7 linked regions of the Ovis aries genome follow. The protein of the gene in region 1 interacts with the protein of each later gene in a pairwise test. Links are inferred from orthologs where the notes say so. Each region holds a gene or a part of one and is shown in the gene's direction. Other genes may lie near its edges.

Region 1 (4,553 bases):
AATACTTTTAAGGAAAAGAAAGGGAATTAAAAGAAGACATTAATAAATAATATTTCAAGTGCTACATGGCTATTTAAAAATCTTAAGTAGAATCATATGTGGCTGAATGTTGGGGGACACTGCATTACTTTATGATCAACCAAAATCGGCTAAATGAAGCTATAGAGTCCTACTGTTATTAAAACTGTCTCTAATCTCCATCAGAAAAAGTACTAACAAGTAATGATGATGATGTGCCTCATTTTGAAATATAAGAGAATCCCTAAGGTGATGCTACTGGGGTCAGAAGTCCTAGAAGCCTGAAAAAGTTGCGAAGCATCCCAAGAGAGAGCCCTTTCCCTGCTTGCCTTCTGCCCTGAGAGAACAGGTACTTCCAGGGTTTCACGCCTCTTTGCAGCATGCTTTTTTTTTTTTTTGGTTGCGCCACAAGGCATACAGGATCTAATTCCCCAATCAGGGATTGAACCCATGCCCCTTGAAGTAGAAGGTGCCTCCTGCAGTGGAAGCGTGGAATGTTAACCACTGGACTGTCATGAAAGACCCTAGCAAACTTTTCATTCCCATTCTTCGCACCCTTCTTACACTACAGGACTTTGAAGGAGGCTCATGATGCCAGCTTCAGGAAGCAAATGTGCAGTCACTGACAAATCTGCAAGACCTGGGCTACCAGGAATTCCCACAGGCTCTTACATGAGAAGCCTAGAGCCATTGCCTTCAGATAACCTGGCCTCTAAGCCCTCTCTGGGAGAGATGCTCAAGATATATATATTTTAAAGCTCTGAAATCTAGCATTTTGGAACTAAATGACTCGAAGAGAATTAAGCCCATACCTTTCCCTGCCACACTGACTTATAACGTGTTAAAATAAGTCCATAAAAACTAAACCAACCAGGTAATTAAACAGAATAGGAAACAGACCCTGAAGAGGTGATGTGCCTGTAATTCCTATCTCCTAATTCCCAACAGCTCCTTTTTTCCCTCCAGACTCAAGATCTTACAAAGGCCAAACTAGAACCAGACACATGCTGATCTAACTGCATTTAGTGGCTGTAAGGAGGGGCAGGCAAAAACCTAAAAAAGATACTATCTCCTTGTTGCCTATCCCCTACCCATCCAAGCCCTGCCTGCAGACGGGTCCGAGTCCCGACATACTACTTTCAACCCTAAAGTTCTACCCCAGGCTTCACGGTCAAGAAATTGTATCAAGAAAAAAGGAAGGAGGTACACGATCATTAACGGGTTCTTAAACCCTTTTTCCTGCCGCCTTCCAGGAAGAAGGGGCGAATCTCCGAGGAAAGGGGCCTGCAGATTCTGCAGCCCTCGCGGTGGCCCCCTCACTTACACAATCCGAGGACATTTTGCTCATCTTCCGGGGGACTGTGGACCCTGGTCGGGATCCTCCTCCCGGGTATATTCGAGGCTCCAGGGGCCTTCAAGTCCCCAAACCCCGCCCCACAAAGTCCTCTGAAGTCCTACCAAGTCACTCCCATGGTGTCGTGCCAGGAAGATGGGAGGATCAAACAAGTGAAATGCGCTGTGCTCCAGCAGCCCACAAGAGGAGAAACCACCTCGCTAAAGCGAGCTCCAATGGAGGCAGGCGCTCCGGAACTTACGTAAAAACACAGCGTCCAGTCGACACGCCCACGAGGAAGGGCGTGTCTGGGTCCTTCGGTGAGGTCACTGCCCGACTCCGCCCCGCCCCCGATCCCCTGGTTCGCCGGTCAGGGAATTCCCATTCGCCTGGGCACCCTGGACCCAGATCCATGAAACTAGGAAAGTGTATCTCGGACTACAACCACTTAGAGAAGACAACGTTAAATTCGGGAGGACCCAGCTCCAGGACCCGTGAGCTCTTTTTGGGGGGGGGGGGGGGTGGGACGGGGCTTCTGGCACACCCGGCCTCCAGACGCGAGGGGGCGCTGTGAGCTCCGGTGGGCTCTCGGGCGCTGGGTGTTTACCGCGCAAGCGCACTCGGGGCCTTTTTTTCCTCCATACCCACGTGGGAAACTTCACGGCTTGGTTTTCTAGAAAAATGCCCAAGTTCAAGGCGGCCCGCTCGGCCGGGGGTCAGGAGAAGCATGCGCCGCTGGCCGAGCAGATCCTGGCTGGTGACGCGGTGCGGGCAGGAGCCCGAGAAAAACGGCGGGGTCGCGGAACCGGAGACGAGGAGGAAGAGTACGTGGGGCCCCGGCTGACCCGACGGATTTTGCAGCAAGCGCGGCAGCAGCAAGAGGAGCTCGAGGCCGAGCATGGGAGCGGGGACAGGCCCGCGGTGCCGCGGGAGCGCACCACGCGGCTGGGTGAGTGGGGGGGATGGGGTACGAGGAGGAGGGTGGGTAGCTGGGGCGGACGGCTGAAAGGTGTCTGGCAGGGGAATAACTTGGAATTAAAAAACAACAACAACAAAAAACTGAGGCCCTTGGCAAAGGTAATGGGGTTGGGAGACCCAGCTCTGGGGCAGATTGAGGGTTGCCGGAGCCCTCCACGCCCATTCCTTAGAGTGGCACTCTTATAGGCATCACCGAGGTTAGGCCAGCAGGAAGTGGTTACTCACGCCGCTAAGTTCTCCTGGCATTTATTTACGTGTTTTGTAAGTAATCATGGAATGTCTACTACGCACATCCCGCCGTGCTAGGAGTTTAGATGGTTTAGATAAAAAACTGTAAACAGGGTAAAGGTATACCTAACGTCAGGATCTTCCAGTGTAGCCCGAGAGAAAGAATTAAGTAAGCAATTAGAATAATGCACTCGTGATAAAGTATAGCTTCTCTGACAATAGCATTAGTCTTGGGAGTCAGGTTTCCCAGGTTGCATGACCGTTGTGCTGAGAACTGAAAAGTAGGGAGTGCTCTGAGCACAAAGAACAATATTGTTTCAGGACTAGAAAGGGAGCGAGATTATTTAAAAGATGGTCATTTTTCTCGTTATTACTCTGAGAGTGTTGACCTCCAAGTTGCTTAATCCATTTCTCAACACTCATCTTTCATTTGTCTGTGAGCAGCATTCACAAACGGAGAAGGCAATGACAGCCCACTCCAGTACTCTTGCCTGGAAAATCCCATGGACGGAGGAGCCTGGTGGGCTGCAGTCCATGGGGTCTCTAAGAGTCGGACACGGCTGAGCGACTTCACTTTCACTTTTCACTTTCATGCATTGGACAAGCAAATGGCAACCCAGTCCAGTGTTTTTGCCTGGAGAATCCCAGGGGTGGGGGAGCCTGGTGGGCTGCCGTCTGTGGGGTCGCACAGAGTCAGACACGACTGAAGCGACTTAGCAGCAGCAGCGTTCACAAACACTAGCCTCCTTGCTACAGTATCTTTACTCCGCTTCTAAGACATCACATCCCTGTTTTGCTAGTTTTTCACCTCAGTGGGCTTCCCAGGTGGTGGAACCCACCTGCCAATGCAAGAGATGTTGGTTCAATCCCTGAGCCAGGAAGATCCCCTGGAGAAGGAAATGGCAACCCACTCCAGTATTCTTACCTGGAGAATCCCATGGACAGGGGAGCCTGACAGGCTATAGTCAGGAAAAGTCCACAGGGTCACAAAGAGTCAGACACGACTGAGTACACGCACACACCTCTCAGTATCCTTTGCTGGCTCCTATTCTCCCGCTTCCGACGCCTGCTGGTGGGATCTCAGTTCCCCTACCAGGGGTTGAACCCTGAGCCCCAGCAGTGAAAGCCCAGAATCCTTACACTAGGCCACCAGGGAGCTCCCTTTGCTGACTTCTCGTTTGTTGCCAGCCTCTTCCTGTAGTGCCACAGCATTACATCCTTGGAGCTAGTCTCTTCACCTCTGATGACTTCCCTGGTGCTGTCATCAGGGTTGAGGTTTAAATACTGTCTGTTTGGTAACTGCTTCCAAGTTCATATTCCAGCCTCGATCTCTTCCATGAAACCCAAAGTCTTATATTTCAGCTCTCTCTTTAGCTTCTCCAATTTGAAGTCTAAGAAACATCTCAGATTTAGCATGTCCAGAACAGAAATCCTGACCATCTTGCCAAACCTGCTCCACTCCCAGTCTGCTTCATCTCAATTAATGACATGATGTCCTTCCATTTGCTCCAGGCAGAAAACTCTAGACTTGTCTCTTTCTCGCTCCATATCCAATCAATTAGGAAGTCCTGTTGACTCTGCCTTAAAAATATATCCAGAATCAGATCAGTTGGCACCATCTTGGAACACCATCCTGTTCAAACCACAGTGATCTCTCACCTGGGTGACTGCAGTAGCCTCTTACCGAGAATCCCGTATCTGCCACAGTCTACTCTCCACTCAGCAACTCAGGATTGCCTGATCTACAGAGACCTATATGATCTGTACCTGTTGTCAGTCTGACCTCTCCTGCTCCTTTCCCTTTGCCCTCTTCTCTCCATCCGGGTCAAACCAGCTAGTTCTAAAAGAGATCAGTCCTGAATATTCACTGGAAGGACTGGTGCTGAAGCTGAAGCTCCAGTACTTTGGCCACCTGATGCGAAGAGCTGACTCATTGGAAAAGACTGATGCTGGGAAAGATTGAATGCAGGAGGAGAAGGGGACGAGAGAGGATGAG
Region 2 (2,630 bases), on another chromosome or scaffold:
CTTTCACTAAAGAGTGAACAGGGATGACAAGGATCACAGAAAGGATTTCATGTATGTGTGCAGTGTGGCTCATGGTTCTCGTCATTGCTCTTTTGCGTCTGCAGGTACGCCATTGGCCTTGCATACAAGTCAGCCCCAAAGCACGAGTGGATTGGCAAGAACTCTGCTTCCTGGGTGCTATGCCGCTGCCACAATACCTGGGTGGTAAGACACAACAGCAAGGAGATTCCCATCGAGCCAGCCCCCCACCTCCGGCGCGTCGGCATTCTGCTAGACTACGATAATGGCTCCATCGCTTTCTATGATGCCTTGAACTCCATCCACCTCTACACTTTCGACATCACATTCTCGCAGCCCGTGTGCCCCACCTTCACTGTGTGGAACAAATGTCTGACCATCATAACAGGCCTTCCCATCCCTGACCATCTAGACTGTACAGAGCAGCTGCCCTGAGCACGTGGAGCTGGTTTCTGGGGGATATAAAGGGTGGTGGCCACCATTTTGGGGACTGAGAAAGCACAGACTTCCAAAATGTGGTTAAATCTCACAACAAGCATCCAGAAATCAGCTAAGATAGGATTCCCAATGGGTGATTCCCCCCTTTCACTGTGTTTTGTATTAAGTACAGGCTTTAATAATTTCTTCACCCTGTTTTTGTATTTACAGGAAAATTTATAGATTATTTATAATAGGAACATAACCGGGGATTACAACTCTTAGGAATTCTCTGGTTTTGCACATTAGGAGGCCCGTAAGTTTTATCAGTTCTTGACAACCTTTATTTTCAGCACAAGTCTCTGAGCTTGAGAAACAAGATCTTTTGTAGTTTGTGTTTCTCCACCTTCTCACATCCTCTTTCCTACAGATCTCATGGCAGGTCCTGTCACACCAACACTGTGTAACAATATGCCACTATTTTCAAACTAAAAAAAAAAATAGTTTTGAACCTAGTAGGGAAGTCAGCAGGCTTTCTGACTGGTTTCTTGTGAAGCATTCTGCAATGTCAGAAGGATTTATGGATCAAGTAGCATGGAGAGAGCAACAGACAGGAGGGAAAGACTTGACTTGGGAGCCGGGGATCTGCTAATGCAAAACCCGTAATTACCCTTCCATGGCTGGTAGGATGATGCTGGGAGAACATGAACAATGAGATTGCAATTGAAAAAATTCACCTTGAATCCTACTGATGATTCAAAAATTCAGGCCGATTTGTGTTTTCTCGGAAGTGGGATTCTGTGTCACGATAGAAATCTATTTCCTTCTTCCTTTTACTAATTTCTTTAGGCCTGTGAAGTTTCTCCAGTATGTTTACTAGCTGTCCTGTGTCCCACTCCCCCTGAATAATTTTTGTCACTGGGGCTGAGGAAATAAACGTTTTCTGTCACAAATGGCAGCACCGCTTTGGATCAGTTTTGCTCTCTAGGACATCAACATATGGCCCCAACCGCCAATACCACATCCAACCAAAAACCATTAGTATTTATGAGTTGGTAATGACAAGGGACATTGCATAAAGTACTCTTCTCTAGTATATGTGCTTCAGAAGTTATAATAAACAGACCTTTAAACACATCTCGAAAGATGTAGAAGTCCCTCTATATTCTAGTATAGTTAAATAGAGTTGTAAGAAAACAAACAAACAAACAAAAAACAAAAAAAAAAATCAAACTCTCTATTCTCACTTTGGAACCTGCTAGTAGAACCTGCTAATATCATGTCAGATACAATGCTCAGTGTGCTGACCTAAGACATTGGAGTGGTCCATGACATAAGGCTTTTTTGCCTTCCCTGGTGGCTCAGTGGTAAAGACTCCATCTGCAGTGCAGAAGACCCAGGTTCGATCCCTGGGTCAGGAAGATTCCCTGGAGAAGGGAATGGCAACCCATTCCAGTATTCTCGCCTAGAGAATCCCATGGACAGAGGAGCCTAGCGGGCTACAGTCCATGGTGTCACGACTGATACTTTCACACTAAGCCATCCTTGGACGCGAACCAGGAATCTGGCAGTGGTTCTACCTTGATGAAGGGCATGACATCTCTCAACCATTTCATTTGCTAAAATATTTATCTGGGCTGCTGGGGTGGCCGTTTTGACAGACTGGGGGATTTAGACACTGTTTTTATTGGTTTTGTTTTTGAGCAAATCAACCAATTGTTTCAGCATCGCATTATGTGATCGTGAGTCTGGGTTTCAGGGGCAGCTTCCCCAGGGCTTCTGCCTCTACACTGGCAGATGCATTCCTTTTTCTTAACAGATAGATTCTATATATTTACTATATTATTTATACCCAGATGAATATTTTGATAGTGACTTAGAACAATTTCACATCTAAAAGATGGATGTCTCAATGGAAAAAAAATTAATCTCTGCCAACTTAATGGAATTTTTTCTTTTTACAATAGAAAAACAATGTTCATTAGGCTTCCCTGAATAAACCAAAAGGGTTGGCTTAATAATTTTTACAAACTTTTTTGGTAGCTAAATAATGGATATTTTCATGCACTTTGTACACTAACAGGTTTTAAATAAAAGGGTCTAAAACTCAGCTTCTGAGATTTTTTAAATCATGGTCTCCAGGTACAATAAATGCTCCAGTTTGCCTTATGATGTTAATCTAAAGCATTTATGAG
Region 3 (4,360 bases), on another chromosome or scaffold:
AAAAATAATAAACATTAGTTTCCACCTCCTAAGCTAAGGTATGCAAACACCAAAGAGATTCTGAATATATTAGTCTGAATGCCTCGACTGGCAACAGAGTTGGGGGGAAAGGTTGTTAACTGGATGTTTGAACACAGTTCATTAAGTGGAAAATAAAGACCTGATTAAGCCTAAGTGCTGCCTAGAAATAGCAAGGCCCCATTTCATGAGAAATGCTGGACTGGATGAAGCACAAGCTGGACTCAAGATTGCCAGTAGAAAATATCAATAACCTCAGATATGCAGATGACACCACCCTTATGGCAGAAAGTGAAGAGGAGCTAAAAGCCTCTTGAAAGTGAAAGAGGAGAGTGAAAAAGTTGGCTTAAAGCTCAACATTTCAGAAAATGAAGATCATGGCATCTGGTCCCATCATTTCATGGGAAATAGATGGGAAACAGTGTCAGACTTTATTTTTGGGCTCCAAAATCACTGCAGATGGTGACTGCAGCCATGAAATTAAAAGATGCTTACTCCTTGGAGGAAAAGTTATGACCAACCTAGACAGCATATTAAAAAGCAGACATTACTTTGCAGACAAAGCTGTCTAGTCTAGCCAAAGCTTTGGTTTTTCCAGTAGTCATGTATGGATGTGTGAGTTGGACCATAAAGAAAGCTGAGCACCAAACAACTGATGCTTTAAACTGTGGTATTGGTGAAGACTCTTGAGTGTTTCTTGGACTGCAAAGAGATCAAACCAGTCCATCCTAATGGAAATCCGTCCTGAATATTCACTGGAAGGACTGATGCTGAAGTTGAAACTTCAATACTTTGGCCACCTGATGTGAAGAACTGACTCATGTGAAAACACCCTGATGCTGGGAATGAGTGAAGGCAGGAGGAGAAAAGGATGACAGAGAATGAGATGGTTGGATGGCATCACCGACTCCATGGACATGAGTTTGAGTAAGCTCTGGGAGTTGGTGATGGACAGGGAAGCCTGGTGTGCTGCAGTTCATGGGGTCGCAAAGAGTACACGGCTGAGGGACTGAACTGAGGCTCCTCCGTTGCTTTGCGTCCCACCCAAAAAGGGAACCTGAAATGTCGGGGACCCAGGAGAGGGGCCACCTTTCTTTTGTGTAGTTTATTTGTGTGCTCTGTTTGTCTTGTTTACGGCGAGGAATAGTCAGGAAATACAACTGTCAATGGGGATGCTAGATCCGTGGCTTCTGTTCTCAGCAGAGGGCGATATAAAAGCAAGTTCGCCCATAAACAGCGACCCCCTCTCGCGCCTCATCTCACACAAGCGTCCACGAGTCCCTTCCCCAGCTGATTTATTTGCGGACAGAAGAGCCCCGCCCTCCCGTGAGTGGAAACAGCCCCACCCACCAATAGCTTCTCGCGATCCTTGAGCCGGCGTGAACTTTGCGTAGTTTCCGGTCGTGATCCTTCAGCCTTTCGGCGATTGGTCCGTTTCCACGGCCTGCTGAGTGATTTCCAGCCGGTTCCTGGAGCCGCACGTGTGGAGTGGAGTTAAAGACTGGGCGGTGAGCTGATTCTCAGAGGCGTTCGGGAGGTACCGTGTCACCGTCCGTCCGACTAGGAGAGTGCTGTCGTCCCTGTTTGGCGTGAGCGCCGCGCGGCTGCAAGCATGGTAAGTAGGAGTTGGGGCGCCCTGGTTTGGCAGAGGCCAGGCTGGGTCCCCTAAGCCAATGGCTTCTGCATCCTGGAACTGGGATGACACGTCCGAAGGTAAAGGCAGGCGGCTTTGGGCCCATGGTCCCGGTTTGGGTCACCCTCACCACCGCGGGCATAGTTTGCAGTTTAGAGCGGGGCTTCTACGGCCTAGCGTGCCTGTGGAGTAGACAGAAGAGGATGGCCTACGCTTTACCCTCCTAGAGGCCTAAGAACCTATAACAGAGCACACAGATGCGACACCCATGCTTCGTGACGTCAGGCGGAGAGGGGCTTGCTCGTGTCTCCAGACGTTGCAGTGGCAGGTGTCCGCTCGTCTGTCTACTCTGGGGAAGACGAGCTCCCAAGATTGGGCCTACTCAGCTGGAAGGATCTTTCAGTCTATAAACTCGAGGTTGAGCAGTGAAACGAGAAGGTAGAACGATGGTGAATCCTGTATTTCAACTTCGGCTGTTGTGTCATGGTTTTAATAGTTGGTACAGGAAGTGTTTCTCCTGCTTGTAACTCTTCCTCAGATTTTCCTGTAGTGGACTCCCATTCTGGTTCAGACTCTCAGGGACCTCCTCTGAGCCCCTACTTTAAAGTAACTGATGAGTCGTTACCCATTCCTGTGTCTCGTTTTGCTTGCCTTCACCTGAAACCCGGTTCTTGGTGATTTGCCTGTGGAGAACAGGAACTTTAACTTTCCCATCGCCATATTCCCAGCACTGGTAACTAGGTTTGGCACGGAGTACCTCCCCCAAAAAGGTTTATTGAAGGAAGGTAGTTTTTTCTTTTTTTTTTTTTTAACATAGTTGATGTTTCCTGCCCTGAAAGTGCAAGTTTTGACAGTCTGTTGATCCTTCCCATAACTTATTGAAGATGCCTGTGGGGGGTATAATCACTGTTTTTTGTTGTTGTTCTGATTTATTACTGTGATTCTGTTTCTTTGAAGCCTCATAGGAAGAAAAAACCCTTTATAGAGAAGAAGAAAGCTGTGTCTTTTCACCTGGTCCACAGGAGCCAAAGAGATCCTTTAGCAGCAGATGAGACTGCACCCCAGAGGGTTCTGTTGCCTACACAGAAGGTAGGTCCTCTTCTATAGCCAGTAAGTTTGTAGGTGGATTGTTGATTGTTTTTAATTATATTAGTCAGCTGCTGTTCTCAGATAACTGATCTTCTGGGAAACAAAATATGTGATTTAATTCTCAGTAAATATGTTCATTTTTACATCATGCATGTTTATTTTGTTGAGAGAATATTTTTATTGGAGATGTTTAAGTGAGCACTCTTGTAGAGTAATGGAAGATATTTACTAATCCATCAGCAACAATGCTTTATGGTGTTATTTAGGGCACAACCATATGCTCAGTCTTTGCTTTCCATGAGATATTGGCATTTCATAACCACAAACTGTATTTTTGCCTCCTGGTCATCTCATGAAATATAAAACTCATGAGTTAGCTTTAGAAAATGCAAGGGAGCTTTTAAGAGGTCGATTTGGTAATTATCAGTCAGAGTATACTTGTTAAGTGTGGGTAATGTGGAAGGAAGTATTGGGGAACCCAGGCATATTCAGCTTTGTTGTAAAGCCAATTGGTGTTATGCCTTGAGAAGTTTCTTTGCATATAAATTCAGGAAATTGTACTTACCTTTCAGTGCGCCCTAGTCTTTTAATTCTCCACATAACCTGGTAAAATAGTGTGTGTGTGTTTCTTGGCTTGAATTGTTGTACAGAAGTGTCTAATGGAAGGAGGAACTATTTTCATTCCATTTTAATTTTATGTGGCATCCTGTGTTTCCTGAGTTTGTCAAGAAGTCTTTGTCTCATTCCTATCAGCTAGAGTGTTCATGGGTCATCTGCCCCCTGTTCTGAAAGTTGTGCTCATTGGAAGTTTCCTGGGTTTTATCCTTGGAACAGTTACTATGTCCGTTTTGTTTATTACCCTAGATAAAAGATGAAGAAAGGCGAGCAGAGCAGAGGAAGTATGGAGTGTTCTTTGACGATGACTATGACTACCTGCAGCACCTGAAGGAACCATCTGGCCCCTCGGAGCTCATTCCCACAAGTACCTTCGGTGCACCTTACAGGGGAGATAGGAGAGAAGAGCCTTTAGTAACTTCAGTAAGACTTTTTAGCAATTTGAGTGTGAGTGTGTGTGAAGGGCCGTGAGTGAGTAAACCATCACTTTTAAATCAAGGTAACTGTTTGAGGCAAGAATTGGTGTCAGCTAGAGAACTGAATCTGCGCTCAATAGTTGGTGCTCATGGGCTCTAAGCATGGGCGTAGCTGATCCCGTGGCAGGTGGGATCTTCCAGACCTGGACTCAAACCCATGTCCTCTGCATTGGCAGGCAGATTCTTACCCACTGTACTACCAGGGAAGTCCTTCTTTTTAGTTTAGTATGAGTGTACAGTAAATTTTCCTGTGAAACTTTTATATCACTTTTGGCACTTAAAAAAAAAAAAAAGAGGAATATATTGGGCTTACAGACAGAAAGGAGAGATACAGAGAGCGTCAATTTCCCCTACTTCTCATCGCGAGTCCTGCCATGGTCTAGACTTTTTCCTTGGGGAAGATGTGATCATAAGCTCCTCCAGTCCCTACTTGTTGCTTAAGAAAAGTCAAAACGGTTAGGCGTCAGCATGTTATACCAAAGAGTTATTAATAATAACTGTTCACCTGATCATTCACTCACTAGGTTGT
Region 4 (4,677 bases), on another chromosome or scaffold:
CTTATGCAGAAAGAGACCATGTCAGAAATATTGCTAAATGATAACACTTTCCCATGTCACTTCCTCAGATATTCTAAAGTCCGTTTCCCTTTAGATTTGCCTGCAAGAGTAGTGAGAATGCAAGATGTTCGAAGGGGGCTGGGGAGAAGCCTTTTGTTAAGGGGGGTATTTGATGGGGGGGGGGGGGTCCTGCTTCCTGGAAGCAAGGCTGCCTTTTCAAGCATTCCTTATCAACCTAAGAGGGAGGTCTGGAACCCTGTGGAATGGTTTGGGGTCTCTGGTCTGTTGTGTGTGAGAACTGTGACTACAATTGTTTCCTGAAACAGACCCTGGAACAAAGCTGTTCTCTAGGGGGAGGGAAGGGGGACCTCCTCCAGGGCCTCCCTTCTTGGGGGTCTCTCCCAGACTGGCTGGAGCCAGTCCTCCTAATCCTGCAGTAATCATTCCCAGCCGCTGGCTGGTCTAGGCCTCATCCAGGGTCTATAACGTTAAACGTCAGCCATGCCTTCCAGATGCACACTACCAGGTCAGTCCTACCTGTAAGGATGTGGGTTCCACATTCTGGTCTTCTGTGCTCAGGAAATCTTTCAGGGATTTCCAAAAGGAGACTTTTATGAGGTCTATGAATTGGGGATAGAGGGATAGATACACACTTGCCTGTCTTGCCCCACCCTTCTAGCAGACAGCCTACACAGCAAACCAGAATGGTAGGGAGGAGGGGAAGCTAATGATCCCCCAGCCCCACCCCTACACACACACACACATTCCATTACACACCTGTCTTAAACCCCTCACGTGAAAATTAGCCCAAAGTATTTCAAGAGCCCCTGGAGCCCAAAAAGTAGCAGTTAATCCCTGGGTCCTATGTAAGGTCCCTAGGAGTCACTGTTTCTATACCCCACCTAAGAGGATTGAGGCAAACTGCCTGGGCTAGAACCAGTACTCGGCCTGTGCCCAACTGGAATCTTCCTGAGAGCTGAGGGAGAGCCTGGCCCAGTAGAATCCAGCTGGATCTGCAGGCTTGTCCTCAGATTCTCTAACCCCCTTGCCTGTAAGGGGGCAGCTTTGGTCCTCCATCCCTTCACTGGGGATGGGTCTCAGAAGAGACTCAACTCAAAGGGCTCCTGCTGCCCAAGTACTCAGGCTGCAGATATGACCCAAATACCTGTAGACATCACGGTCTGCCCTCCCACAGGCTGCCTTGGGTGCCATGGAGGGAGGGACCCTTTGGTGCAATACAGGTCAACTTCCTGTTTGTGCCTGTGGGTGGAACTTTATAAGTCTAAGAGAAGCCTGACTACACTCTGGTGGGGGGCGGGGGGCAAAACTGGCAAGCCTGCTCACCGGGCAGACACCTACTCCAGGGGAGGGGGAGGTGTTGGTTCTGCTTGAGCAGCCCCAACCTCAGAGGTGTGTGAGGAAGGGTGGGGTCTGTTTCGGTGAAATCCGAGCCTTCTTCGTCTGCTTCCCAGGGGTTTTCCCTGTGTCTGGGGAGTGGGCTGAGAGTGGACCAGGCTGGGCTCCCTACAGACCAGAGGATAGTGGCAGTAAAGCCCTATAGCCAACTTGGTTAGGGCAGCCAGGTAGCTTAGCTTAGCTGTGGCGCCGCTGGCCCCTTCCTAGATCGAAAGCCAGTTCCAGAAGCTGCGAAGTCAGAAGTCCGAGGGGCAGTCTTGGGCCACCGTCGCAACACTGCTTGGCAGGGTACCAGATCTGCTGCTGAGGGGGTGCTGGGCAGACCACTCCCCTGCCTTGGTCGGGGGCGCGGCCTCAGCCGCCCCGCCCCCTCCACCAAGCCCGGGCCGAGCGCGCTGGGGAGCCGGCGGATCTGCGACCAGGAGGTGCCGGCCCTGGGTCAGGAGCCCAGCGGGAGCTGGAACGGCGGTTAAGGTAGCGCTGGGTGAGTGAGTGGGGGCGCCGCGGCGGTGTAGGAACTCTCGCCTCCTGCACACCCCCGCCCCGGAGTGAAATTTCCCGATCCCGGGAAGCCGGGGATTGGGGTGAAGAGACGGGTCCTCAGTCCAGGGGCCGCGGGCGAAGAGTCTGAACAGGGAACCTACACGAAAACTCACACCGACGGGCGCACACACGCGTGCACACAGACCCACGCGCGTACTGGAGACACCTGAATACACGTGCACTGCGGGGCGGACGCGCCTAGTGAGTTTCGCTTGCTGTTGGCGGATCAGCGCCGCTGGCCCGCGCGGACCCCCAGCGGGCAGGGTGTGCTGCCGTCGCGTACTTGGTGAGGGTGGGAGAAAAGGGCCTCCCAGTGACCGCGGACGGGGGCGGGCCAGGTGGGACGCCTCCGGAGGTTCCGGCTTCCTTGCTGCCCGCAGGTGAAGACTAAGACGTAAACAGGCGTTGAGCACGTGATCGCTTCGCAGACCCGTGGGCTGTACGGGGGGAGCCTCGCGGCGGGAACCTCCCTCCGCAGTACTAAGCGAGTTTGAAAGATACATTGCCGGGCTGTATTCCATTCTCCCCTTGGAGGGGATAAGCCCTTCCCCAGGAATGGGAGCACAACGCCCCCCGGAGTTGGGGTAGCGAAGGAGGACAACAGACTGTTGGACTGAGAGGGTTGGTTACCTGGGCTCCTCACCTTCCTTCTCCGGAACATGTTGCCCCCATTCCTGAAGATACCCGAGAGGGGGGCAATTCTGGCAGTGTACAGCAGCCTCCGCCGGGACCTCCAGCCCCGGGGAGCATCTGCGCGAACGCCTGTGGGTCCCCTTTCTTACTACACTCCTCCTTGCGGCACTGGGAGCTCCTCCCCTCAAAGTAGGAGCAGAAAGCCCACTCACGCAAGAGTAGGAGTCCCCCTTCCCCAGAGAATGCATGACCGTACACATCCTCTCTATACCAGAGTGGGCCCGTCTCCCTCTGGTAGAAGGGAGCACGGCCCCCTCCCCCCAGCGAATGAGAGTGGGCAGCGGCCCTCGGCCTCCCTCTCCACCACCCTCCCTACCCCTCCACACACGCTGAGCCCAGCTGCTGCCTGAGCTTCTGGGCAGGCTGCCAGAAAGGGGAGGAGGCTCCTGGTGCCCCAGGAGGCTGGGATCAGGGCAAGGCCAGAAGAGGGGGTCTCTATGGGGGTGGGGCTCAGTCTGTACTTGTGAGGCAAGAGGGTCTAGGGTGAGCCTGAGGGTGGCTGGGCTATGTTTCCCTTTCCAGGGAAAAAGAAAGAAAACAACTCTTTCCATGGAGCTAAAAATAGAACTGAGAGCCGGCCAGGCTGCGGCCTGGAAGGGGGGGGCGGGGCGGGGGGAATGCTCCTTCCTGGGGCAGAGGAGCTCTGGCAGGCCTTAGTTCTGGGGGGCGGGGTTAGGGGGCAGGAGGCTGTCCTTGCCCAGGGATGCGGGCATCAGCTGACCTGGTTAGGTCACAGAAACCCCTATGGGAAAGTCTGTGTGATAAAATGTTTGTGAAATACGACGTGTATGTTTAAAAAGTTGTCTTTGTGACTGTGAAAAAGACTGTCATAGTGTGAAAAAAGCTTGGGAGGCAAGTATAGTCAAGACTGTGACTGGGTGCAAAGGAACTTGAGCTGTGAAAGCTTGTGCACAACTAGCCGTGATACCAAGTGTGTATCTCTGAGTTGGCCTGATTATGGCAAGAAGGGACATGGATCCTTCTGATGGACCAGACAGACTGAGTGATTGTGTCTGAGACTGAGTGTGGGAAAGGTCGTGTGGGTGTTTAGATTGTGTTGTTTGCCAGAGGGTGAGAGTATTCTTGACCCTGAGAAGACAGTGGAACGTTGTCTGCTGTGAGGCTGGCGTAAGCTTGGCCTGTAGGTTTGGACCAGCTCCCCCACTGGGGTGACTTTTGGGGGCCCAGGGGACGTCTCTCTCTTGAGCATTTACCTCTTAGCAAATGAGTCTGAGGGAAGGTTGGGGAGCAAAGAACCGCGCTCGAGGAAGGCCGGGGCTCTCCCGAGAGGGAGTACAGCACTGGGGAGAAGGGTAGGGGCCCCCCAAGTTTGGGGGTGGCTGTGTTCTCCGAACGGGCCGCCAGGTGGCGCCGCCTCCGCAAATCCTAGCGTGCCTTCTGCAAGCGGCTGGGGGTGGGGCAGGCACCCACCAAGCGTCGGCCCCCGACTTGTGCCAGGACGCAGGGCCAAGACTTGGGGGTTAGGTGACCCCCAACCTCCTTCTCTGGACTCTGAAGCCGGAGAGTGTGCCTAGGGGTGAGGCATCGACTAGAGGAGCGGAGGGGGAAGGGCGGCTGCCGCGGCGCCTGGCCCTTTGTGCTCGAACAATGACCAGCTGCCGCTGGCCCCGGGGCCCAAGTAAGGGTAAAGGGTGACCCGCCACCGCCTAGTCCTGAACCGACCGAGCCCCAGACACACAGCCATCGCTCCTCGGAGGGAGGGAATCTGAGTCCTGCTGCGTAGCTCCAGCGTGCGCCCCGCCGGACACGCGTGACGCCGGGTGCCTGCGCGTGTCCGCGCCCCGGGGGCGGGGTCACCCCTCGGACCCTCCCCCGCGCTGCACCGCCCACTTGGGCCGGGCGGGGGCCAGGCCGGGCTGGGGGCGCCGCGGAGGCGGGGCCGGGTCGGACCGGGCCGCTCCGAGTGGCGGCGCGCGGCAGGCTGGAGCCGCGCGGCGCGCCTGTGGAGCGCTGGGGGCGGCCCGGGGCTGAGCATGGAGCGGCGCGGTGGAGGTGAGGGGGGGG
Region 5 (4,686 bases), on another chromosome or scaffold:
TCTTTGTTTCCTCATTTAACACAGTATGGGGTGGGGAGCGTCTAATTCATCGATGACAATCTATTCAAAATGTGAGGGCTTTTCTCTTTTCTTTTACCCTTTGACTATAATCCACTTAGTCCTCATCCCCAAAGCCCTCCCAAATAGTGGCGGGGTGTGGGGGGAGCGCTCTGAGACGCCCTTGCTCAGATACTTAGCAGAACTCTGTTCTCCACATGGGCTATTTAGGAGAGTCGCTGTCTCCTCGCGTGACTCCACTGCCTCCTGGGTTCTTCTCTCGCTGCGAACAGGAGTCAGGGTGATGAGATAGTCTCCCCTGCGGTCCGGGGAGGCGCTGGCCATGGTCCTGACCTCAAGCTCGGGACTTGAGCGCCGAGGGCGCCCAGGAGAGGCGCTGGGAGAGTGCGCAGGGCGCGGCGGGGAGCGGCCGTCGAGGCCCCCGCCCTTCCCGACCCCGGGGGAGCCCGCTGGCCTCCGCGCGAACCCTCCACTGCATGCTCGGAGCTGCATCAAAAAGGGTGGGGCATCCAGCCACGGCTGCAATCGGAAGCCACCCGGGAGGATTGAAGAAGAATGGAAACCCGGCCCGTCCCCTCCCCCTCCAACTATGCTACCCCCTCCCCAGTAGGGGATAGGCCCATCCTTTACCCCCCATCCTCCACCTCCCAGGCCCAGGGAGGCGCGGGCAGCCTTTGTGGACGCACGGCCGCCCACCACCGAGCCCGAGCACAGAGAGGGGTCGGGCAGGGTGGGGTGTGTGTGCACCTGCAAGAAGCGATATTCGAGGCGGGGCAGGACTGTGGGTTACGCTGGGATCCTCGGTTCTCCGCCGAGCTGGAAGGGGGCGAGGGAGGGGCGATCCCCACGCCCTATTCTCGGTCTCCAACACCGCTCCCCCGACCACCACCCATACCAACCTGGTCGTTGATGTTCTGCAGAGCTTCCTTGCCCGAGGCCCGCCGAATCTCCACCTTCCTGCTCGATTCAACAGATGGCTCCCCGCCGGCGCGCCGGCCCTGCCGGGAGTAGGGCGTCTGCGGGTCGGGGCCCAAGTGTGCGACGTCCCGCTGCTGGGCCACCACCTGCCCCGAGCCCCGGCCCACCGTCAACGAGTCGAAGTCGATGGTCTTGTTCTCCGAGGACCCCTCCACCGGGCAGAACATGCCACAGAATTTCTGCCGAGGCTTGGGGCTGCCTGAGCCCAGGTTTTTAAAAAAGGCAGGGACCTCTTCGTCCTCTGCCGCCTTCCCGGATTGCTTCCTCTCAGCCATGGTGTGGGGGCTCGGGGAGGGTCCTTGCCGTTCGTCCGTCCGTCTGCCAGTCCCTACGTCTGCCTGTCTCTAGGCACAAACCCCTTGCCCCGGCTGCAGCCGCGGCTGCCGCTCTCTGCCTACCGCAAGGTGTACAAAAAGGAAGGAGGGCTGGCGAGCGAGCGACCCACCCCTCACGGTCCCTCCCCCTGACCCCGCTTTCTTCCCTCCCTGCCCACGCCCCCCGCCAGCTCCCGCGAGCAGCAAAGTTGGGTCTGGGCGGGTGGCCGCTGCGGCAGCGAGAGCGGAGAGGCTGCCAGTTCCCGGCAGCTGCGGGAGGAGCGAGGCGCGGGCGGGGCGGAGGCGGGGCGCGGCGCGCCGGGGAGGGGAGCGAGGAGCCGGGGAGGCCAGGGAGGGCCTCGCTCCGGAAGTGAAGCTGCCAGACCACCGGCTAATGGATGCGCAGCGGAGGGCCCGCTGACCGCTCTGGGCGCCACGGTGAGTACCCGGCAGGGCACGCGGGGACAAAGATCGTAGGGCGCAGTCCCTGGTCCCCGCGCCCCTCTCCCGGACCTGCCCGGCCCAGGCGCCTCTTCCTCACCGCATTGCGGAGGTGGGCCCACGACGAGTGCCCACCGTGGGGAGGGCTCCCTCCCCCTGCCCCGGGTGTGAGCTGATGGGTGGGGAAAGTGGCACACGCTGGCGGGCGCCAGGACACCCATGGTGGAGGGGCGGGGGAGAGGAGGGGCGGCACTGGGGTTGGAGAAGAGATGGCGCAGGCCGCGCGGAAGAGAGGGGACCGTGAGAGGCGCGAGGACACTAGAGCTTCGGTCTAACCACCGGCCGTGGTGGAACACTGGGAGCAGAAATTGAAACGTGATTCTCACTTACTGCTCCCACAGTGGTGGTGGTGGGGCGCATCGTGGCAGGGAGAGATACAGAGGGCGTAGCAAATACGAAGTGGGTGGGTGTAGAGACAGGAAATAGATCTACAGTCTGTGCAAGTGTAGCAAGGCGAGGAGTTGGCAGGTACAGCCCAGCGCGGCAACTTAAGGGTATAGTGAGAGGGGATGCGGGTGCGCGGTATTGGCCGAGGGCGACGTGTACCGTCGCTGCGCCACTGCGCCAAGAGGGGTCCGGCAGAAGGTCTTCATTTGATATCTTCCGCCCCTCCCTCCCGCCAAAGGGGGAAAGATACACATGGAAGCCCACCCCGCCAAATCTCCAGCCCTACTGGCGCCCCGCCTCATTCCACAGCCCCTGTAGCGCACTGCGCCAGAGCCGCGGGGTTTCCTAGGCTGCCAGAAGCCGCGTGCCTGGGCGCTAGTGCGCGCGCGTCCAGTGCAGGATCAGCATGTGGGGCGCGGCTGTGATGGTTGCCTTGAATTGTGTGAGGCCAAGCAGCGGAAAGGTGTATGGGGACGTGGTGTGTATGCACGGGTAGATCAGCCTCAGCCATGGGATTAGTGGGCATCCAGGGGGCATTTTGATGTAACGCCAGTACATCAGGCCAGTAACACGGCCTCCCAGGACCGTTCATTGCTTACTGCTATTCCCCGTGTCTTTTCCACGTCTCAGTCCCTACCCAGGGTTGATTACAGCCCCGCCCCTCTCTCCACAGTGGCAAAACCCTGCAGAAATGATGCCCATCCTTTGGCAGCTCGAGAAGGAGCTCTGGGCATGCTCAGTGATCAGGGCGGGTTTAGACTGGGAAACTGTTAACCACAGGAGCGTCGTGCCCGGCTGAGCAACCAAAGATTCGGTCCCATTGTCAGCCCTTGCCCTTGGAAGGACTAAATGCGGATACCCAACCCTCCTCCACAATTGCCAGGGAAAGGTGAATGGAGTTAAACTTAGAGGACAACCAATCCCAGCTGGAAGATAAGCCCACCATGATAGGATGAGAAGGAAGGACAGAGGAACATACCTGTGCAGGGGATGAGAGAAGCAGAGGCGGGGCGTTTGGACCTGGCACCAGATGTGCTTTGCATCTGAATAAAGTGCCTCCACACGAATTAAATTTCCTACTCCTAGCAGACCCCTGGGATGAGTGCTTCCTTATCACCACTTTCCAGGGTAGGAAACAGAGTTAGATGCTTTGCCCAAGGTGACTATATAAATGATCCAACAAATCCAGTGGGGTCTTCCACCTGAAAGTCTAGTTCCTTTTCCACTTTATCCTATCTTTATGTGAGATTTTCACATTTTTCCCCCTATCCAAATATTTCCAATCTTGGTCTTATCCTGAAGCACCCAGGTGGCTCAGACCGTAAAGAATCAGCCTGCAATGCAAGAGACCCAGGTTCCATCCCTGGGTGGGGAAGATCCCCTGGAGAAGGAAATGGCAACCCATTCCAGTATTCTTGCCTCAGAAATCCCATGGACAGAGGAGCCTGGAGGGCTATAATCCATGAAGTCACAAAGAGTGGGACATGACTAGTGACTAACACTTTCACTGGCCTTATGGTGTACCAGGGGCATTTCATTTGCCGTCTTTCTATCTGGAAGGCTGCACTGAAGGTTGAGATAGCCTTTGGAGGAAGAAGCCACTCAAAGATAGCCTAACTTGAGTGGGACAGTTATGTAAGAACTTAAGAGGTGTTTCTTCCTGTGTATGCAATGTCTTTTGACATCTCTTGTTTCCTCTAAATATTATAACCGGGAAGGTCACCCCCATATCTTAGAAGAGGGTCATGAGGCATGAGGGAGGAGTCAATGTACTCAGATCCCTGGGGCTGCTGGGCAAGGACTCTCCAGCATTTTGCCCTCCCTGCCCTCTGGCACACGCACCTCCTTTCAGCACCTTCCAGAACTCAGGAAATGTGCCTGCAGCAGGAGCAGCTCCCCCGCTTTAGCTGCAAGTTGGTATCTGTGGCATATGGACCCCATTTGGACTGATGGAGAATTTTAGGGCAAGAATGATCGTAGCCACTTAATACTCCATGACAACTCGAGATAGAAGCTCTTCCCTTTTAAAATCAGCCAGTCTCCACCGCTTCTTCACAGATGTGCCTCCTGTCTTTTTCTTTGCTTTTCAAATGACCCATTCAATTTCAGATACTAGGAAGAAAGCATTGTGTTACTAACTTAACATTTATAGCAAAAGAAAACCCCTAGTTGTGCATTTGCAAAGCATAACCAGGCATAACCAAAGAGAATTAATTTATAACTTCAAGTTTATTTGGCTCTGAGTTTTTTGTAGATTGTAAAACCTATATTAAGTTGTATCTATGTTATTATGTTAAAGCATATTATAAAGCATATTTAGCAAGTTATATTGCTAAACCCGTATTAAGTTGATTTTAAATGTTTGAATGATTCTAATTGAATTTTTAATCAAAGGAATGAAGTAACTCAATATTGTGAAGGATTTGAGGGGGGGTATTTTTTTTTTGGCTGCATGGCAATGCTTGTGAGCCTGGCAGTGAAAGCACCA
Region 6 (4,441 bases), on another chromosome or scaffold:
CAAGGAGTAAGCGTCTTTTAATTTCATGGCTGCAGTCACCATCTGCAGTGATATTGGAGCCCCCCAAAATAAAGTCTGACACTGTTTCCCCATCTATTTCCCATGAAGTGATGGGACCGGATGGGACTGGATTTTCTGAATGTTGAGCTTTAAGCCAACTTTTTCGCTCTCCTCTTTCACTTTCATCAAGAGGCTTTTTAGCTCCTCTTCACTTTCTGCCATAAGGGTGGTGTCATCTGCATATCTCACAAGGTCAAGTTAGTGAAATCTGGCATTACTGTAACTGGGAAATGTCCTGCTCTGGGAAAACTCCAGATGATTGCCTGGGACTGTTTTTCCTCCTATTTGGAGTTTGCCAGGGAGAAAATTATAAATGAAGGATGACACCTCAGTTCCACCTAGAGAGAGCCCCAGCTTCCCTCTACTCTTTGTGTGCAATTCAAGGTCTATACCCAAGGGTAGGGTGACTTACTACTGGATAATGTTGAGTAAGACAGGATACTAACTGAAGTCAGTTAAATTCCCAGCCCCACTTCTGCAGAGAGCAGCACTCCCTGATACTTTGGAGTCTTGCTCAAATAAACAAGGTCTTTTGTTCTAGAGTTTGTCTCCCCTTCCCTCCCCGAAAATAAGGCCTGCAGCCTTATTTTAAGTGAAACTTGAAAGAGGGTTTGCTGGCGGCAGTCTACTCTCAGGTGTCTACATTCTTGAAAAAGCTCATTTTGTCCGGCATCTTCAAACTCTTGGTAAACCATTCGTGTGGTTTTTGTTGGACTCTTTCTCAGGTGACTGCTTTGTGCCGCCTCTCAATTTACGCTCTAAAAAAAAAGGCAAATCATCCTGGTAAACTCAACCCCAGCATGGTGAGGGAAGAAACACTTGTCCTCTTTTCTGAGTACTCCCAACAGTCCAGAGGGAGGTTGAACTGAGCCTCCTAAAATTCCCGCCTCCCCGGCCGCGGGTGAAGCCCTAGGGCCTTTTACTCCAGGAACAGGAGTGAGAAGGGAGAGGAGGTGGGGCCGGAGAGAGGCAGCGCGCAGCGGTACCCAGTGGTGCTGCGAGACTGCTCCCTCCAGAGTACGTGGCAGTCCCCGTGGACAGAAGGGGAGGGGATTCGGCTTTCTCCTCCCCGTGCAGAGCCTCGGACAGTCCTCCCGGGCGGGAGGGAGGAACCGCAAGGGGACTGGTGCGCTTTTGGAGTGAAATTTTAGCAGATAAAAGTGGCCTGGCAGCGGTCGGCCTCCGTCCCGCTCTTCCACCTGGGTAACCACAGCAGGTCGAGCCTGCGCTGTACCGCGAGGAGCATTGACTTGTTCGGGAGCGAGGTGACGCGCTGGCCACCCCGCATGCGCAGAGCGAGGAGCCGGCCTCCTGGACTACAGCTCCCAGAGGAGTTTGCCGGCGGCTGCAGGCGTCGAGCCGCCGGCGCCATCTTGAAATCTGATCCTCAATCTCTGAGTCTTTGCGTCAGCCGCGGGCGGCAGCCGGAGGACCGCGAACTCAGCCCGCTGAAAAGGGAGGACATTGAGGACACAGCGGCTGGCGGGAGAGACAGCTGGAGGAGACATGGCAGGTTCTGAGCGCGGCCTGCGCTGCTGTCACTCAGCATCCTCCTGAGGCATTTCCTCGCCCGCCGCCTCCCCGAGGGGCGGGGCTGATCACTCTGGTACCCAGAACCCGCGCGCGGGTGTCAGCGGAGCGCCCCTGCAGAGTGGGCACCCCACCAAGCTGTGCCATGCCAGCCGGAGGCCACCGAGGCGGGAGACGGAACGCAACCAAGCGCCAGTGAGCGATCACCGAGCAGCAGCCGCCTCCGGGAAGCTCGGCCACCGCAGGAGGGAAGATGAAGGAGATTTGCAGGATCTGTGCCCGGGAGCTGTGCGGAAACCAGCGGCGCTGGATCTTCCACACGGCGTCCAAGCTCAACCTCCAGGTTCTGTTGTCGCACGTCCTGGGCAAGGATGTCTCCCGCGATGGCAAAGCTGAGTTTGCTTGCAGCAAGTGCGCGTTCATGCTCGATCGGATCTATAGATTCGACACCGTCATTGCCCGGATCGAAGCCCTTTCTATTGAGCGCTTGCAGAAGCTGCTGCTGGAGAAGGACCGCCTCAAGTTCTGCATTGCTAGCATGTATCGGAAGAATAACGATGACCCTGGCTCAGAGACCAAGGCGGGGAATGGAACGGTTGACATTTCCAGCTTACCCGATGTCAGATACTCTGCACTGCTCCAGGAAGACTTTGCCTATTCAGGGTTCGAGTGTTGGGTAGAAAATGAGGATCAGATTCAGGAGCACAGCTGTCATGCTTCGGAAGGCCCCGGAAATCGACCCAGGAGGTGCCGAGGCTGTGCAGCTTTGCGGGTGGCTGATTCTGACTACGAAGCCATTTGTAAGGTACCTCGAAAGGTGGCGAAAAGTATTTCTTGTGGCCCCTCTACCAGATGGTCCACCAGCATTTGCACTGAAGAACCAGCGTTGTCCGAGGTTGGGCCACCAGATTTACCAAATGCGAAGGTACCTCCAGATGGAGAAAGCATGGAGGAAGGGACCCCGGGATCCTCTGTGGAATCTTTGGATGCAAGTATCCAGGCTAGTCCTCCACAACCAAAGGATGAGGAACCTGAGAGAAGTGCAAAGGAACTTGTAAAGTGTGACTGCTGTTCAGATGAACAGGCTCCCCAGCATACGTGTAACCATAAGCTGGAGCTAGCTCTTAGCATGATTAAAGGTCTTGATTATAAGCCCATCCAGAGCCCCCGAGGGAGCAAGCTTCCTATTCCAGTGAAATCCAATCCATCTGGAACCAGGCCTGGCCATATCATGACAGATGGAGTTAGTTCTGGTTTCCTTAACAGGTCTTTGAAACCCCTTTACAGGACACCTGTGAGTTATCCCTTGGAGATTTCAGACCTGCAGGAGCTGTGGGATGATCTCTGTGAAGATTATCTGCCACTTCGGGTCCAGGTATACAAAATGGCTGCATATTGCCTTTCTGATTAAAGTTAGCTGGCTTCAGGCTTCACATGATTTCTATCTAGGGGAAGGTTAATAGTCTAGACTTGGTAACCCATTTTTGCTTTACCTTTTGCTTCTGTCCATTTTAATAAATGTGATTCACACAAGTAATTTGCTTTCCACAATAGCCTCTTTATAAGATTATCTGTTGGCTTTCCCACTAATTATCAAAATTGTACATGTTTAAGACAAAGATTCATAATTCATTTTTACCCTAAAAAAATTTTAATCTTATTTCTGGCACTGGAACTCTTTCCTCTCACTTGTCCTACCGCCTCTCTACTTTTGTCTGTTTTGTTTTCACTTTTAGATTTATGAATATTTTCTTCTCTGAGGGAGGGAGTTCTCAAGTTAGTCCGCCCTAGAGCATTAAGCCATTCATCCCCACCTGTGCCTTGAACTGATTAGAGCATAGGGTAAAGGTTTGAGGAGAACCTATTAATCCACCAAAATATTGTAATATGTGGACAACATTTATAAATTAAGAGGTCATTTGAGGACTAATGATGACTTTTTCATAAAAGAGACTTGGGAATTCAGAATTTAAAATGTTAAGGCAAAACGTGTCTACAGCCAGTTTGTATAATGAGCTCTATGTGAAGATGTTTGGTGTTGAGCAGGACTTCATCCATTATTGGGTGATAGAGTTTTACCTGTTTTACTCGTGAATTTCGTAATGACTGGAAGATGGCAGTTGATCTTACTTTGAGCTGTTCATACCAATCTTTTAAATTCAGTTGTGTACAGGGGCCTGACAGATGCTGTCTTGTTTATACAGCAGCAGTAGTTTCAGTTAATGTTGTGAAACATCTGGCATGTTCTACTTGATATAGATTCTTTAGTGATACCGTTACAGAGGTGGACAATCTAGAAGGTGTTTCTGGAAAGCTTGCTAACCAGTCAACATCATCCCAGAATCTTAGAGCTTCTAAATGAAATTGTTGATTGTCACTTGACAGCTTTGAAAAACAGTTCTATTATGTATAAAATTTGCATCACAGTAAGAATATGGGAGAAATATTTTTGAATTTGCACTAACTTGTCAGAAACAGCATTGTTAGGGAAAAGTATGAGTATCCAAAAGTTTAAACTGTGTTTTCATTTCTATAAAATGTTTAGGATGCCCAACACTTGTGTACTTTCCTTTCGCTCCCTTTTCTTTCATTGACCTTCACAGCTAAATTTGAGCTTTCCAGTACAGTATTTCTGTGAGCCAACATAGATGTCACAGATTCATCGTAGTGTTTCTGTATTAGGATCTAAAAGTAGTTGGACAGAGTGGATGGGAAATATGACCAATATAGTAGAAATATAGCCCCCTTCAAATATGGCCAATATTGAAGAAAGGTGAAGACTTAAAAAACTGCAGTAAAGCAAAAGTTTTTTTCCTCCCTATTAAATTTAAAATACTCTGTTGGTGCCTGG
Region 7 (4,583 bases), on another chromosome or scaffold:
ATTAAAAAGAGGGTATCAAAGAGTAAAAGGATGTCTAATTTCTATACAATTAAGAACTCTTAGCATAGTGTTGAAATATAAGGAGAATTACTAAAATCAAAACCAACTTTGCTCAATGAATAATAAATTCTAAGAGACTATTTTAATCCTCTATCTTAAGTCTCCAGGTTTGGTTTTGGTTGGTTGGTTGTTTTCCCATTATCAGCTATTTAAGGAAGAAGTACTCAGAGTTAAAAAATAATTGTTTATTCTGGATCATGAAAATTTTAACTTTGTCGGAGTAATGGGCTACCCACCCCATAAAGATCTTTAACATTCTGCAGACAATTTTCTCTGTACACTTTTTAAAATGAAATAAATACCACAATCAAAGGCAAGAAAACTGAAAATTGGAGATAAAACTTAAGAAAGAACCCAGAAAACTTACATCTCAGATCCCTATCCATTCAGTACTGCCCCAGGGAGTTCATCCAATGGAATTGCTGGAACTCATACAAAAGACTTTTATTCCCAAGTTCCAGCATATTTAATTTTCATGAAATTGAGGCCTTCAAAATTAAATAAATTAGTAAATCTGAGAAAACAGCTTCCATGTCCCAGAAGAAATGCCTTTTGTAACTTTCTTCCTTCTATACTGAAGTGTAGTTAACGAAGGTTTAGCTTCCTGAGACTAAAAAATTATAACAGAATTCATATTTCATTCTTATTAGAGATACAGATGAAAAATCAGTATCTCTGATATAAAAGTGAAGCATAGGAAAAGTAGAGAAGGCAAGTTTCAGGAAATCAAAGATTACAACTCCACGTTTTGATAACCAATTTATATTTTGGCATGTAGGGCAAAAGTGATGCCCATCAGTTATGTAAAGTGACTTTTCAGTTTGCACATGGGCATGTATGGTTCTCACACACACACTTCAAATTCAGTATACACTCAGTCCTCCACCATGTGAGCACAGCAAGACCACAAAAAGCATTGAAGATGGCTAATCACACAGAACACTTTTATGGTGGGGGCACAAACAAATAAATAGCATTTAAATGAGTTGTAACATTAATTTCAAAAGAAGACGAGCAGTTTTCAATGCACAGGATCAAAATCTGTAGGGATATGATTTCCTTTATGTGTAATCAGTTGTATCTATAATTACTGATTGCCCAAATTTTCTCTTTCTTTCCTTATTCTGTCAAAAGGACAATGCTTCCTGTGAAGATTTTCTGAAACAAGTGCTTTATCCTATTGGCACATGGAGATGGTGTCTTTATTTAGAAACCTGAAGTTATGGCTCTTTTACGAAGCATAAAACTCTTCTTCAGCAAATAAACAACACTAATGAATGTTCATATGAAAAATGCACCGGAAAACATCCTGTGTAGTCTGTAAATACCCATTTGAAGTGGGGTATATATAAAAGTCTCGGGAGGGAATGAGAGTTTTGGAGGCGGGCAGTTGGAGTTTTGCAACTAGTCTTTGCCCTTCACTTCTGATAGAATGGCTTCTGACTGTTCCCCCACGGGCTGCTCTTCTGAATCCAGTGCCAGGGCTTCTGATTGTGCGCTTGCCTCAACCTGTTCCGCGGCAACCACTTGTCTCCCCAGCGCCTGTGCTACATCCAGCTGCCAGACCCCCAGCTTTCTATCCGGGTCTCGTCTGCCAACTGGGTGCCTCCCACCGTCCTGCTTTGCGGGGAGCTGTAATATTCCGGGCGTGCTGGGGAACTGTGCCTGGTGTGAGGACGGTGCATTCAACAGTAACGAGAAGGAGACGATGCAGTTCCTGAATGACAGGCTCGCCAGCTATCTGGAGAAGGTGCGCGGGCTGGAGGAGTTGAATGCTGAGTTGGAATGCAGGATCCGGGAACAGAGTGAAGAGGATGTCCCGTTGGTGTGCCCTGATTATCAGTGTTACTTCGACACCATTGAAGATCTCCAGCAAAAGGTCTAGTATCCCATCACCCTAATGTTCCACCTTCCCACTCTGTGATGTGCTTTATGTTTCTACTACTACAAGAGTCTGTTCTGTGGAGGGAAACCAGGGAAAGGGGAGGGGCTTCCCAGGGGGAATGTGATGTAGAGGCAAGGGTACTGGACAAAAAGCCAGCAAACAGGGTGACCGGTGGTCCAATGGTTCAGACACTGTGCTTCCACTGCAGCGGGCTTAGGTTCCATCCCTGGTGGGGGACTAAGACCCCACGTGCCATGCGGCATGGCCCAAAAGAATAGAGGGGGAAAAAGTCAGTAAACATCAGCGCTAGCCTGTATGCTGCCGCTAATTACTAAATGACCACAATAAACCCGCTTATCCCTAAATTTACCTTGAGGAAAAGCAGTGTGATATCTAAAATTATTTCTGCGTGTAACACTGTACAAGTACATTATTTAACATAGATATGGAAATGTCATCTTTTAACCATATAATTTTACCTGGTAATTATGTCTTTTTCTTACTGATAAATTTTTATTATCATGGGTGGAGATGTAGTCATAATATAAACTCCTAGAGAGAAATCTACCTAAGTTCAGTGGCCAAGGAATACTGCAAAAATGTTTTTAAGTCATTAAAAAAAAAACAACAACCTTTTTATTTCTCTATTTTGTTTATAAATTGGCCCTCCTTTTTCCTTCATGAAATGATATGGTCAGTAAAAGCAGGCTGAAGGCCTATATTTTCTTATAAAGACTTTTAAAAGATAAACCCTGGCATAGTTATTAAATGAGTAGATATGTGGGTTTCTTTCAAAGAACCATTCATGACATAGTAACTTTCTTCCCAGATCTTGTGTACGAAGGCAGAAAATTGTAGACTTGCTGTACAGCTTGACAACTGCAAACTGGCTGCTGATGACTTTAGGTCAAAGTAAGTTTAATTTGAACTTTTTTTTCCTTGCAAGAAATTGCTTTACAATCTTGTGGTAGTCTCTGCCATATGTCAACATGAACCAATCATAATTATATATATATATAATATATATAATATATATATATATCCCCTTTATCTTGAGCCTCTCTTGCCTCAATTCCACCCCTCTAGGTCACCGCAGAGCACAAGGCTGGGCTCCCTGTGTTATACAGCAGCTTCCCATGAGCTATTTATTTTCCCCATGATAGTACGTATATGTCAAAGTCACTTTCTCAGCTTGTCCTACCCTTTCCTTCCCCTTGCTGTGTCCACCAGACCATTCTCTACATCTGCATCTCCATTTCCTCTCTGTAAATAGGTTCATCAGTACTATTTTTTTAGATTCCATATATATATATGCATTAATATACAGTATTTGTTTTTCTCTTTCTGACTTATTAATGATTCCCTCTGTATAATAGGCTATTGGTTTATCCATCTCACTACAACTGACTCATTTTTTTCCTTTTTATGGTTGGGTAATATTCCATTTGTACGTATTATCTCAATGTATGTATGTATCTTTACATACATGCATGTACATGTATGTATCTTTATGTATGTGTGTATCAATGTATGTATCTTTATCCACTCATCTGTCAATGGAAGTCAAGGTTGCTTCCATGTCCTAGTCGCAGTAAATAGTGCTGCCATGAACACTGGCGTGCATCTGTCTTTTTGAACTGTGGTTTTCTCAGAGTGTATACCTGGTAGTGGGATTGCTGGGTCATATGGGGGCTTTATTCCTAGTTTGTTAAGGAATCTCCATACTGTTCTCCATAGCAGCCATACCAATTTATATTCCCACCAACAGTGCCATAGGTTCCGTTTTCTGCATATCCTCTCCAGCATTTATTGCTTATCATTTTTTCGATGATAGCCATTCTGATTGGTGTGAAGTGATGCCTCATTGTAGTTTTGACTTACATTTTTCTAATAATGAGAGATGTAGAGTATCTTTTCATGTGTTTATTGGCCATTTGTATGTCTTATTTGGAAAAATGTCTGTTTAAGTCTGCGCATTTTGTTTGACTGGACTATTTGTTTCTCTGATATTGAGCTGTATGAGCTGCTTGTATTGTGGACTTAGAAGCAAGTACAAGCTAGAGTAAGACCAGATCTGAATTCGAACTTAACATATGGTAGGCTCTTCCGCTTCTTCTCTCACATACCTACATGCACACATCACAAGGATTCCCTTTATAATATTTTTTCAAGCTAAGAATGCTCACAAAGCTTGAATTTTTCATGATTTGGATGTAGAAGAAATTATGGCATGTGGGTTCCTTGATGTCATGTGTCCCTCAGCTGTAGGGCTCAGCACTTTTCTCAGTGTCCAGCAGAGTAAGCATTGGCTGTATCTCTTTTGCTGTAAAAGGTACGAATCTGAACTCTCTCTTCGCCAGCTGGTAGAGACTGACATTAGTGGCCTGCATGGGATTCTGGGAGAGCTGACTGTATGCAGATCTGATCTGGAGGCCCATGTAGAGTCTCTGAAGGATGATCTCCTTTGCCTTAAGAAAAGCCATGAAGAGGTAAGGAAAATGGCAAAATCACTGAAGGACCCTCAAAGTGACAAAGTTAAGCTGGGAGAGCTCATGTTGAGTATATTCATAGAACTTGAGTAGATGTTGACTGATGTGGAAAAAACTCACTCTAGGCACTGTTACTATTCAGCCTGATC

Evidence for each region.
Region 2: the proteins of BYSL (region 1) and MID1 interact in binary tests that used the Homo sapiens proteins (3 or more experiments, as listed by UniProt). The two-hybrid records come from large-scale screens. The link is inferred for Ovis aries from reciprocal best matches to the Homo sapiens genes BYSL and MID1.
Region 3: the proteins of BYSL (region 1) and LTV1 interact in binary tests that used the Homo sapiens proteins (3 or more experiments, as listed by UniProt). The two-hybrid records come from large-scale screens. The link is inferred for Ovis aries from reciprocal best matches to the Homo sapiens genes BYSL and LTV1.
Region 4: the proteins of BYSL (region 1) and LZTS2 interact in binary tests that used the Homo sapiens proteins (3 or more experiments, as listed by UniProt). The two-hybrid records come from large-scale screens. The link is inferred for Ovis aries from reciprocal best matches to the Homo sapiens genes BYSL and LZTS2.
Region 5: the proteins of BYSL (region 1) and PNMA2 interact in binary tests that used the Homo sapiens proteins (3 or more experiments, as listed by UniProt). The two-hybrid records come from large-scale screens. The link is inferred for Ovis aries from reciprocal best matches to the Homo sapiens genes BYSL and PNMA2.
Region 6: the proteins of BYSL (region 1) and PDE4DIP interact in binary tests that used the Homo sapiens proteins (3 or more experiments, as listed by UniProt). The two-hybrid records come from large-scale screens. The link is inferred for Ovis aries from reciprocal best matches to the Homo sapiens genes BYSL and PDE4DIP.
Region 7: the proteins of BYSL (region 1) and KRT40 interact in binary tests that used the Homo sapiens proteins (3 or more experiments, as listed by UniProt). The two-hybrid records come from large-scale screens. The link is inferred for Ovis aries from reciprocal best matches to the Homo sapiens genes BYSL and KRT40.

Annotation. Positions count from the first base shown.
Region 1 is NC_056073.1:15,720,800-15,725,352, forward strand, and holds the start of BYSL (bystin), read left to right. Parts: upstream 1-1,686; 5' UTR 1,687-1,845; intron 1,846-2,028; 5' UTR 2,029-2,032; coding exon 2,033-2,300; intron 2,301-4,553. Other genes in the region: MED20 (mediator of RNA polymerase II transcription subunit 20), read right to left, coding at 1,477-1,490. UniProt on the Homo sapiens protein: Required for processing of 20S pre-rRNA precursor and biogenesis of 40S ribosomal subunits. May be required for trophinin-dependent regulation of cell adhesion during implantation of human embryos.
Region 2 is NC_056080.1:8,465,205-8,467,834, reverse strand, and holds part of MID1 (E3 ubiquitin-protein ligase Midline-1), read left to right. Parts: intron 1-104; coding exon 105-453; 3' UTR 454-2,630. UniProt on the Homo sapiens protein: Has E3 ubiquitin ligase activity towards IGBP1, promoting its monoubiquitination, which results in deprotection of the catalytic subunit of protein phosphatase PP2A, and its subsequent degradation by polyubiquitination.
Region 3 is NC_056061.1:68,485,598-68,489,957, forward strand, and holds the start of LTV1 (protein LTV1 homolog), read left to right. Parts: upstream 1-1,467; 5' UTR 1,468-1,630; coding exon 1,631-1,633; intron 1,634-2,608; coding exon 2,609-2,740; intron 2,741-3,604; coding exon 3,605-3,778; intron 3,779-4,360. UniProt on the Homo sapiens protein: Essential for ribosome biogenesis.
Region 4 is NC_056075.1:21,594,995-21,599,671, forward strand, and holds the start of LZTS2 (leucine zipper putative tumor suppressor 2), read left to right. Parts: upstream 1-1,790; 5' UTR 1,791-1,890; exon of another isoform or gene 1,891-2,160; intron 2,161-2,383; exon of another isoform or gene 2,384-4,189; intron 4,190-4,564; exon of another isoform or gene 4,565-4,665; intron 4,666-4,677. UniProt on the Homo sapiens protein: Negative regulator of katanin-mediated microtubule severing and release from the centrosome. Required for central spindle formation and the completion of cytokinesis.
Region 5 is NC_056055.1:39,169,810-39,174,495, forward strand, and holds the start of PNMA2 (paraneoplastic antigen Ma2), read left to right. Parts: upstream 1-1,688; 5' UTR 1,689-1,748; intron 1,749-4,686. Other genes in the region: DPYSL2 (dihydropyrimidinase-related protein 2), read right to left, coding at 918-1,271.
Region 6 is NC_056054.1:97,759,394-97,763,834, forward strand, and holds the start of PDE4DIP (myomegalin), read left to right. Parts: upstream 1-1,449; 5' UTR 1,450-1,843; coding exon 1,844-2,965; intron 2,966-4,441. UniProt on the Homo sapiens protein: Functions as an anchor sequestering components of the cAMP-dependent pathway to Golgi and/or centrosomes.
Region 7 is NC_056064.1:40,929,472-40,934,054, reverse strand, and holds the start of KRT40 (keratin, type I cytoskeletal 40), read left to right. Parts: upstream 1-1,490; 5' UTR 1,491-1,492; coding exon 1,493-1,939; intron 1,940-2,774; coding exon 2,775-2,857; intron 2,858-4,277; coding exon 4,278-4,434; intron 4,435-4,583. UniProt on the Homo sapiens protein: May play a role in late hair differentiation.